Linked DNA regions of Drosophila melanogaster. The protein of the gene in region 3 purifies or fractionates together with the protein of the main gene of each other region. This does not show direct contact. Each region holds a gene or a part of one and is shown on either strand. Other genes may lie near its edges. The genes, in order: Syn2, CG9010 and Rtnl1.

Region 1 (3,755 bases), on a different chromosome or scaffold from region 3:
GGGCCTCGGGCAGCAAAAGTATCGGTTATGCGAGGGTGTGCGTGTGTTTGTTTTACTTCACAGCCAGAGCTGCAAAAAAAAAAAGAAAAGTTCAATCGCTGAAACTTCAGGCAAAACAGCCCGAAACGTTTCGCCTGCTGCTGCTTCTGCTGCTCTTTTCGTGGCTGTGGCACAGCTGATTGTCCAAGGCCTCACGCCGAACATGTTGGCTTGTTTGGTTTGAAGCTAAGGACCTGCACTCCTGGACACCTCCCCACCGAAAAAAAAACCAGAGTACTCTGGGCCTAGCTTCACGGTTTTACGGCTCTGAAGCACGCACCCAAAAGGGCAGCGCAGCGTGCACACGTAATAATAAAGCCATAATCAAAGGTAACCCGGGACAACGGAGCGTATGCGTGTTCCGCCAAGTCGGTGGCCTGACCAGCAGCTAATTGCTACGACACGCGGAATGCCAAGGATTCAGGAATTCATGGTCCAAATATTCGACACTTTTTGCACTCTGCGAAACTCTTGCAGGCAATATAGAACATTCTGGGTTGATAGATCTATTTTTGTATAGATTTTGGAATGTATAATTTACCTTAATTATAATTATTTTATGTTGCTTCAGTAAAATAATTCCGTTTTTATATATTTATTTTTATTATATTTTCAAAAACTCATTGTTGATGACACGTAAGCTTAGGCCTAAACATTTTATTATGATTTTATTCCTTTCATAATTTCATTAAAAATATATAATAATTTTTTTAATTAACAATAATAACAATTGAATTCACTTTGACCATGAATCAGATCGCAGAAAACGTTTAAAGCGAAAGTGTTTCCCCTCGAATTCAGAATTTCTCAATCTCAGATGGCAATTTAGCTGGCACCATATGCACATATTTGGCGCTCAAATCGAACCCTCCCCCCCCCCCCTTCAAGAACTCTCAACCCCCCCTAGGCAAAACACCTATTTATGGAGCACAAGTGGTTATCCAAAATACATATTCCACCCTCCCATTCCTGAGGAGCAGTTGCGGCCACACTTCGGCACTCAGCACCAGGGAAAACCACAAACAACGTCTGCAGATGGGGCACACTTCAATGTGTTTTCACTCATATCTAGTTTTCCGGTAGCATATTTATTTTCCACTTTAATGGAAAACATATGCCGTGGCATCAGTTCGTAGAAAACGCACTTGGCCAAGGTATGCCCATGTATCGTTTCCATCTAGATATGCCTTCTATTACATTTTGCGGCAGCCTGATTACGCTTAATTGTTTCTAATTGCATGTGTAATTTAATTAAGGCAATTGCACAGTTCACCTTGAACTATCGGCTCATCGGTGGGCCAGTGTGCAAACGTAATTCGATATGCGATGATTGCAATTGCGTTGCTTTCGCCTTACTGCTGTCTGCTCAGTGGAAAAATAAAATGGCAATCGATAAAGGCCACGGAGCCGGCTTCCCGATTTGATTGCAGTTGTTTCGCAGTCCATTGCCATGGCCACGATTATGTTTAAAAATAAAAAAAAAAAAACGAAAAGTTCTCAGAAATCGCTTGATTACACTGGGCCAACTTGATTGGCGGCCATCCGATTTGGTAACAAGGGTAGACATCCCGTTATTGCCACAAATCAGGCAACATTTCAACCTTTTCAGACCCTTTGCTCTAAATTATTCATTCCATTCAATCAATCAACGCATTTAATTTAACGCCTCTAGAAATATTGATTGAGCTTTAAGTATAGTCAAGATATCTTGAAGATACATTTTGTTATTATTATAGCAAACTAATCTCTAGAAATCTCTAGAGTTCCTGGATTTTTATTTTATTTTGGTTCATAATTCATTTTTAAATCCTATCACTTTAAGCACGTTTCCCATTTAAGATCATAAATCACACTCAAGATCCCTCTTCTCTGAATGATTTCAGGAATTATGAAGCTCTCTGACACCATGGCCACGCCTATAGAAGAAAAACTCGACCAAAACCTGAAGGTAACGCAAAGATTCTTCATATTTATAAATGTATATCTATTAAATATTAAATTATTAATATTTTAGGTGCGAACTGGAATGGTGCACGTGAGCGATGGCAAGAGCAGACCAGAACCGCTTCGACTTAATCTTACCATGGAGTTGCTTTCGCTGCAGAAGCTGGAAGTGGTAACACCAAGTAGTTGTCACCCCAATGGACCACCCATGGAATCAAAGGTATATATATATTTTCCCCTATAACATTTAACTTATTTATGAAATAATTCATCTTTCAGGAACGTATGGTTCAAATTACGCGCCAAAAACAAGGCGGCCTAGGACTGAGCATAAAAGGTGGCGCCGAGCATAAACTACCCATTTTGATATCGCGTATCTATAAGGATCAGGCTGCGGACATAACGGGCCAACTATTTGTTGGCGATGCCATCATCAAGGTCAACGGAGAATACATCACGGCATGTCCTCACGATGATGCCGTCAATATATTGAGAAACGCTGGCGATATTGTTGTGCTCACTGTTAAGCATTATCGCGCAGCCACGCCTTTCCTTCAGAAACAACGTGAGTAGCAGTGGGCTAGCATAGCACGATAAATAAGGATTGAATAACCCTCCTCAACATCCCAGTGACCAAGGACACACCCGACTCGGACAACGATGTCACATGTGCCGAACTGAAGGCTGACGAGGGCTACAAGTCATCCGTCAATAGTGGAACCATCAGTCGCAGTTGTAGTCGCCCCATGTCAATTTGCTCGGAGCCCGAGAAGCGCTGGACCGACGTGGTTGCCGGTGAGCCTTATTTATAAATAGGTTAACAAATTGTTCATTGATTATGTCCTAAGATAACAGAAATGTATCTCAAATCTTACGTACAGAAATGCTAATCAATTCATATATTTACACCTTGCAGTACCTCTAATGATGGCATATGTGACGAGGTACATCTATGGCACCGACAAGCTGCGACAAAATGCCTTCGAAGTTCGCGGTCTGAATGGAATTTCCACAGGTGTCATACACTGTGACGAACTGGCCATACTTAGTCAGTGGCTGAAATTGATAACAGACAATGTTGTGGGCCTGACGCATTTACAGGTAGGAGAGTTAAAGGCATATATATTCATAATTTAATCAATTGTGTATCCAATAGATGAAGCTATATAATAGAAACTTTGCTGTGGGCGAGCGCATTGAGTACATGGGCTGGGTGAATGAAGGTGTCATTAACAACAATATATCGTGGCAGAGCTACAAGCCCAGGTTTCTACTGCTCAAAGGCACTGAAGTGATGCTCTTTGAAACGCCACCAGTGAGTAGCAATCAATTGCGATAAGTTTCGATTATCTTAACTAATTTTTTCTATTAAATTATTAGCTAAATGTGGCTGGCATTAGTAAGGCTTTGGTGGTCTACAAGGTCTACCAGACCATGTTCCGCATTGTCAAGGAATCGGAGACCGTGGATAGTCGTCAGCATTGTTTCCTGCTGCAAAGTTCGGGTCATGAACCGCGCTATTTGAGCGTGGAAACCCGTCAGGAGCTTTTGAGAATCGAAAACAGCTGGAATGCGGCCATTGTGACAAGTGTCATCAAACTGGGCGTAGGTTTACACTTATATCGCATACCTTCACTCTCTAATTATATGTTAATTTTCCTCAGCGTAAGACCTTTGCCGTGTCGCATCATGGAAAAAGTGGTGGACTCACGCTGGACTGGCAAGCTGGTTTTTCATTAACCGAAGGAGCCGAATCCGCCACAGTTTGGCAG
Region 2 (3,755 bases), on a different chromosome or scaffold from region 3:
AAATGTGCAGCCCAGCAGTGAACTTAAGACTGGACAGCACGCCAAGGTTAATCTGACTCTGGGTCTGCAGGGAGGCGGTGGTGGCGGTGGCGATGGTCCCGCCGAGCTAGCCACAAATCCTCTTCATCTTCAAGCACCCTCCGACAGAGATCTCATCATACGCAATAGAATTAAGACACCCACACTGGATGACATCATCGTAGAGGCGGACCACCATCAGAGCAGTGATGGAGGTGTCATGGAGGACAATGAGATTAAGAGTATATCATCAATGCAGTTTCAGCGGAACTCCAGCAATGTCTAAGACAATTTCCAAAGAATTCAGTCACTTTTTCTTATTGGCTTTTATGTCTGCCAGGAAAATATGGGTATACATTTTTTTGTTCTTTATTTATTTGTTGGAAAAAGGGCGAATAAAAGCCGATTGCATCCTATGCTATCTATAGTTTAGCCCATAAGAATTGCAAAATATGAAATCTGCGCCTAAAACTATGGTAAAATGGATTACATTACATTAATTTTTAAGTAAATAAAGATTTCTAAATATAAATCTAATTTAAATAAATCTAGACTTGGTTAAAAAAATTTTTAATTCTTTTCTAAGAGTTTCCTATTTCTTGTTCTTGCAAGGATCTTCCTATTTCTTGCAGGGATCATCCTTTTTTCTTACATGGATCTTCCATCTAGCAAGCACCCTTTTCCTTCGCATCGCATTGGTCGACCAACTGGGCATAGAGAACTAGGTCAAGGAGACGGCAGGAATATCCGGTCTCGTTATCGTACCAACTGATCAACTTGACGAAGTTATCGTTTAGGGCAATACAGGCCTTGGCATCAAAGACGGATGCAAATCGTGAGCCGTTAAAATCGGTGGACACCACCTCCTCCTCCACATACCCCAGGATTCCCTTCATTTCGCATTTGGATGCAGCCTTTATGCACTTCTTGATATCGTCCATTTTGGCGGGCTTAGAAAGCCTACAGGTGAGGTCCACCACCGAGACATTGGGAACTGGTACACGGAAAGCCATACCCGTTAGCTTCCCGTTTAGATCCGGAATCACCTTGCCGACGGCTTTAGCGGCTCCCGTGGATGCGGGTATGATGTTGGTCATGCCACTGCGTCCATCCCGCCAGAGTTTGCTGCTGGGTCCGTCGATGATCTTTTGGGTAGCTGTAGCCGCATGAACGGTGGTCATAAGGCCCTCACATATTTCAAAGTTATCGTGCACCACCTTGGCCAGCGGCGCCAGGCAATTGGTTGTGCATGAGGCATTCGAGATGATTGCTGTGCCCGGCTTGTATGCCTCAAGATTCACTCCGCACACAAACATCGGAGCATCGGCAGATGGTGCCGATATGACCACCTTTTTGGCCCCACTATCCAAGTGACCTTGACAGGCTTTCAGGGTGGTAAACCTACCGGAGCACTCCACCACCGTATGCACGCCCAGGTCGCACCATTTAATCTTCTTGACGTCCGACTCCTTAAGCAGCTGGATCTTCTTGCCATTAACAACAAGATTGTTCCCGTCGACAGAGATCTTCTGATTGAACTGTCCATGAGTGGAGTCGTATCGCAGCATGTAGGCCAGATACTTGGGATCCAGTGAGGGATCGTTGATTGCCACGATCTTGACATCTTTGCGAACTAGAGCCTGGCGGGCAAACATGCGACCGATTCGGCCAAAGCCATTGATGCCAATACCGGACATAATGGAATTCGACTTGCAGTGTTGAAAATTTTGTTGGTTTTTTATACGTATTATATAATAGTTCGACTATGTGGAAGGCTAAGATAGATATGAAAATGATTTCTGGCTACCGGCTACCCTAGATCTTTCCAGTTTATGAATCCCAGATGGATAGCCTACATACATACATAATTACACAGCCGGGTATAAATCAATCGAAATCGACCACCTGCCAAAGCTTCTCACGAAACAAAATTACAATAACCTTCGGGAACGCCCAATCCCAATTGTCTGGAGTCCCAAGGAAGTGGGTGTGGCTGCCAAATTGCTGCCCACACACATTCACGTCCATAGAAAATCCAGCTTCAAGGGTCATTACTCACCTTTGTGTGGAATGCCTCGCTCCTTCGGGACCCCACCCTTTGGTACACTGTAAGAAAGTAATTTGAAATGAACATGATAAAAGCATAAGAAATCGATCCTACATATGTATGTTGGTTTTTATGATGCATGTACAATGTTCAATACGTCGAAAAGTCCAACTTTAATTTTAACTGGCTTGTTTTACTTCCTGTGGTCGATAAAAAGAAAAGGAAAGTCCCTTTGAAAGTACCAATGTAACTAACTTTTCGGGCATACCAGATGACGGCCATCAGCCGTAGAAATTTCCATGCCCATCTGCCCCTTGGCCCATGACTTGGCTGGAAATATATTGAATTGAAGTTTTATTCGTTCGGCTTTTAGCAGAGACCCCACTCTGCTGTCGGCATTTCCGGGGGGTGTGGAGTGTGGGAAATCGGTCCTCAACTAGCTATGACAACTTAACTTTGTTGAATATTTATGATGCTGAAGCAACAGCAGGACGGCTGGCATGTTGCTGGCAACATGTTGCTGGCAACATTGGGACGCCCCCGCAGAAAAAAGTCAACTGAGCGCAAGGACCCTCTTGTATCTCTTGTTCTCTCTCTCGATTTGGCACGGAAAACTGGGCTCTCCGGGTCCTGTGTGGTGGGTTTTCCATTTTGGGGCCGCCGCTGATTACGAAATTGTTGCAGTAATCGCAGGACCCGCAGTTGCAAGCCCCGGATAGCGCCAGCCCCGATTCAATGTATCATTTATGTTTGAACTGGAGATTGGAAGGTGTCGTAAATGTTAAATGCCCCACATCAAATCCCATCAAATTGAAGTTTATTTTATGTACTCCGGTCGAGCAGTGGGGGATTCTAAGTTGGGGGCCCGGAGCCCTTGCAACTTTGTTGTGAGCCAGCTTGTTTGCTTTGGAGTCTCCGCTTTCATTCCAGTTTGCTTGTCCGGCGAGTGCTACTTGAAATTTATGCGAAAAACTTTCAAATTTGAAACTTGCCCGCTGAGAAATGGGCCACATAAGCAAAGGATGCAAATCCCATTTTAAGAGCGGCTTAAGCAGAGTTCAACCAAGAGTTGAAAAATTGAATATATGGAATAAATTTAAACACGAATCCATAATGGTAGAGTTAGGTGTAATTAAAACACCAAAGAAGATAAACCATAAATTATATTGAGGGGTGACATGTTATTGCTGCTAACGGATACCTAAACTTCGTAATGGGTACGAGTATCCTTTGGCCATATTAAAGACTTCAACTTTAAGTACTATCTACTATTTCGTGTTTGCTACAACATTCTTAATCTTAATCACAGTTTTTCAAGGCCCAACATTAAGAGAAATGATACTCTTTTTATATTAACTACTTTCAATCACGGTAAAAAAAAATAATGGTGTACTTTATCTTTTAAAATTATTTGGCAAACAACACTGCTCCTGTGGTTGATAAATATAATTTTATTGAATTATAGCCGCTGGACTAGGGAATTAAATCTTTACCTTAATAAATAATAACACTCCGGTTATCATTTCTCTTCGTGTGCTGGCGCACATAAAAGATCAATGGTAAATGCTCCTCCAGGGGCTCTTTAACTTGTTGGCCGGAACAGGAGCTCCACCAAAGTTGGTCTACAAGCGGGATAAATGTAGTTAATACCGTGGCTGGCATTAAAGCAGAACAGTGGGCTTAAGCTGAC
Region 3 (3,755 bases):
GACGGTGTACTATAATACTCGAATGACGACGGGAACACAACAAATTAATTAGAAACGCAATGATAACTGGTGTTGACTAGTTGCTATTTGCAGTGGCTAGACTCACCCAATCCGTATTTGCAGAAGATCTCCTCGACGGACGCAATCTTTGGCTGCGGCTGGGTCGATTCAACTGGCGCCACTGGCACAACCTTCGGCTTGGCCGGCTCCACCTTGGGTTTGGGTGGCTCTGGTTTCGGCTCGACTACGGGTGCGGCGATGGTGGGTGCCTTCGGCGCCTCCTGGACAGTGGGTTTGAACACCACCTCCTCGTCATCCAGGTCGGTTATCAAAGCGGTTGTCACGGGTACAGCCACTGGAACCGGCTGGGGTTTGGCAACTGGTACTGATACTGGTACTGCCACTGGAGCAGGAGCAACAGCTGGAGCAGCATCGAGAATGGGAGCTGGTGCGGGTGCTGGTGTGGGTGCTGAGCGTGGCTCCTCCTTAAAATCGCTGGCCAGATCTTCCGACGAGATGAACTTCTCGTTGTCCTGATCCTTGAGGGCATCTACAATGGGTTTCTTGGCCGGCGATGGTGTGTACGAGACGGACGGCGATTCAGTGTCGGAATCCTGGTTGGCCTTGGTCAATGGGGCGACAGGAGCTGCTGGGGCAGCAGTGGTTGGCTTGCCCAGGAAGTCATCCTCCTCGTCGTCATAGAAATTGGCCGTGGACGGTGCCGTTGGCTGGAAGGCCTGGAGTGGTGCCGATGGCTGGTCAGTGAAGCTGCCCAGGAGGTCCTCCTCGACAGGAAGCGGAGCTGGGACAGCAGGAGCTGGCGCCACTGGAGCTGGAACGGCCGGAGCATGATCGGGAACAGCTGGAGCTTGTGCTGGAATAACCGGAGCTTGAGCTACCGTCTCTGAGAATGGAGCCAGGGGAGCGGAGAAGCCCCGCTCGGCATTCATAAAGTCGGTGGTCAGTCCACTGATGCCCTGCTTCACCTCCTTGCCAGCGTCGCGCAGAAAGTCCTCGAAATCATCAGTCTTCTGTGCAAACTTGGTGTCCAAATCGAGTTTGGCATCCTTAGCGTCGGCGGCCAGGCGTTGGACAAACTCCTGCGCATCGCCAAAGTCCAACTTCTTTTGCTCGTTGGCGAAGTAGTGCTCCGTGTGGGCATTATCGTCCTGGGCACCACCACTCACATTGCCAGTATCGCCACCAAGTGCAGAGTCTTCGTAGGCACGTTGCGCCTGCTTGAAGATGTCCTCGTTGGTGGCAGCGGCCTCCTTTTTCAGTTCGTCGAAGTTCCGATCCATATTCTACAGTGTTTTGATTTCAAAATATAACACTTGTGATCAATAAGAAATTTTCACAGATGTGTTTGAATATCCTGGCCTTCTGATTGGAACTTCGCACACACACACACGTACGCACGCACACGACACACCCACACACACACGCACAGGCACCGAGCTACAGCTGATTTTGCCGGTTGAAATTAATATGATTTTTTTTAGCCGACTTAAGTGCCTTCTGGTGACTAAAAGGCCGCAATTCGCAGTGTTTTGTGCTCGGGAACGTTGAATTTAATTTGAACCACAGCGACTCTTTTACAGGCGCCGTCGATGCAGACGTTTGAAAAGTTTCAATGGACCTGCGCTAGAGGTGGCACAGCGGTCGATACTATCGATGACGCTCACAGCATAATTGCCTAAAAATGGACAAATACCTTGAACAGCCATGTTTCGAACCAAAGTTTTGATGTTGCCGGCATCTTTAGCCATGACATTAACCCAATGGCTCTGGCAAATTGGCTAAAATTCACGACAGCTAAAATTTGTTGTATGTATTTCCAGAAACTTCGCGCAATTCAGTTATGCCTAATGTTTGATTTATTTGTAAACATAACAACCATGCTCAGGCCGTCCACTTGAGGCAGCGCGTGTCCTGGTGCGTTTGCAGGCATCTAACGCAACAGTATCGCGTTCCGCAGGCGGTGCACGAGTACAACGAGAAGTTGCCGCAAACGGCGCAGAAATGCCGCAGTGGCTTTTGTGGAGCCGGCGCTGCGGCGCTCTCGTAGTTGGGCTGCTTGTCCTTGTCCTCCTCGAGCAGTTGCTGGAAGTTCTTGCGATACTTGACGAGAAAGTATTCGGCGCCCTTGCGCTTGCCTTTCTTCTCCTTGCCGGTCTTCAGGCTGTCCTGGAATTTGGGCAACTTCTTGGACATGACAAGGTCGGCGTGTGGGTCATCGTGGTAGTTGTCCTGCTCCAGAGCCTCCAAGGCTTTGCGGGCACGCCGCTGGCGGGCTGTGGAGTCCAGGACACGCTTCTTTTCAGCGTCCTTGATGCGGTTGGATTCGCGACCCGTCATGGTTGTTTTTAGGTTTTTACTTTTGGCTATTGGATTTTATGGGTTGTGTAGGTTCTAAGCGTCCTTGTCGTGCAGCGGAAAGCTTATCCGATCCATCAAGTCGTCCACTCGCGCCTGCAAAACTTCCACAATGTCCGTGGAGATAAACAAATGGTTCTCGTCCAGATCCTGGATAATGAATTTGCGTCCCAGAGCCAGTTTTTCGTCCAAGTGCAGCAGGAATTGTTTCATAGCAGGATCACTGCGGGGATTGGGTTGAATATAGCGAAACCAACGCATACCAAACGTATACCACTTACCACTCCACCAGCACTCCTTTCATAACATTTACCATGTTGCCAGCATTTGTTTGCCGAAATTAATAAACAATCTCACCAATTCTCAGAGCTGAATGACATATTCACAGTGAAACGTAGGCTAGAGGTGGCAGTCTTTACTATCGATATTTTTTTGACTTTACTTGATAATTTAATCAATAATTTCAGCATGGCAATATAATATTTACAATCAACGAAATATAACACATTGCTTTAAACCAGCACCCGATATTAACTATATTATGTTAGTTTCACCGTCGGAAGTTTCGTACTTTAAGAAATATAGCTATTTTGCCAGCCCTATCAGTGCTACTCACTACGAAAAGTAGACAGAAGTAGCGGGGTATTTGCCAGTCACACGGACAAACACCAAGGCAAAAGTGTGAGGAAATATTGAATTCCAAATTAAATTCCTAATTAAATCAGACCATAAGCACGCAATGGAAAGGCTGACCGGAAGGAATGTGGCACTACTGGTGCTGTGCCTGTGCGCCGGATACGCCCTGGTGTTCGCCGAGGGCGAGAAGGAGATACCGGTTACCAAATTCGGACAGAACATAGCGCCGACGATGACTTTCCTTTACTGGTGCGTTATATGCGGGGCAATTAACATAATTGATAACAATGACCTCTGTGTTTCTCACCATTGATTCGCCAAATAGCTACTCCTGCGGCTATCGCAAGGCGTTCGAGGACTACGTGGGCCTGCTGGGCGAGAAGTATCCGCAAATTCAGGTGAATGGCGGCAACTACGATCCGCCGGGTCTAAACTATTACCTCTCCAAGATGATATTCGCCCTGAAGATCATAATCATTGTGTCCGTGGTCAGTGCGGTCAGTCCGTTCACCTTCCTTGGCCTGAACACGCCCAGTTGGTGGAGCCACATGCAGGCTAACAAGATATACGCCTGCATGATGATCTTCTTCCTGGGCAACATGCTCGAGGCCCAGCTCATCTCGTCCGGCGCTTTCGAGATAACACTAAACGATGTGCCTGTGTGGTCGAAACTGCAGACGGGACGCTTTCCCTCGCCGGAGGTACTCTTTCAAATCATCGACAACCATCTGCAGTTCACCGAA

Evidence for each region.
Region 1: the proteins of Rtnl1 (region 3) and Syn2 purify together in Drosophila melanogaster (affinity purification with mass spectrometry, with the first as the bait; 2 studies listed by BioGRID). This does not show direct contact.
Region 2: the proteins of Rtnl1 (region 3) and CG9010 purify together in Drosophila melanogaster (affinity purification with mass spectrometry, with the first as the bait; 2 studies listed by BioGRID). This does not show direct contact.

The regions. Positions count from the first base shown.
Region 1 is NT_033778.4:16,552,706-16,556,460, forward strand, and holds the start of Syn2 (Syntrophin-like 2), read left to right. Parts: upstream 1-1,881; 5' UTR 1,882-1,912; coding exon 1,913-1,987; intron 1,988-2,053; coding exon 2,054-2,203; intron 2,204-2,262; coding exon 2,263-2,548; intron 2,549-2,613; coding exon 2,614-2,778; intron 2,779-2,899; coding exon 2,900-3,084; intron 3,085-3,139; coding exon 3,140-3,298; intron 3,299-3,363; coding exon 3,364-3,588; intron 3,589-3,647; coding exon 3,648-3,755.
Region 2 is NT_033778.4:16,958,381-16,962,135, forward strand, and holds CG9010 (uncharacterized protein), read right to left. Parts: upstream 1,816-3,755; 5' UTR 1,716-1,815; coding exon 684-1,715; 3' UTR 563-683; downstream 1-562. Other genes in the region: CG6665 (uncharacterized protein), read left to right, coding at 1-304.
Region 3 is NT_033779.5:5,008,075-5,011,829, forward strand, and holds the start of Rtnl1 (Reticulon-like1), read right to left. Parts: upstream 1,647-3,755; 5' UTR 1,302-1,646; coding exon 107-1,301; intron 1-106. Other genes in the region: CG31917 (uncharacterized protein), read right to left, coding at 1,903-2,358; Tfb5 (transcription factor B5), read right to left, coding at 2,413-2,599, 2,658-2,692; SelT (selenoprotein T), read left to right, coding at 3,116-3,261, 3,338-3,755.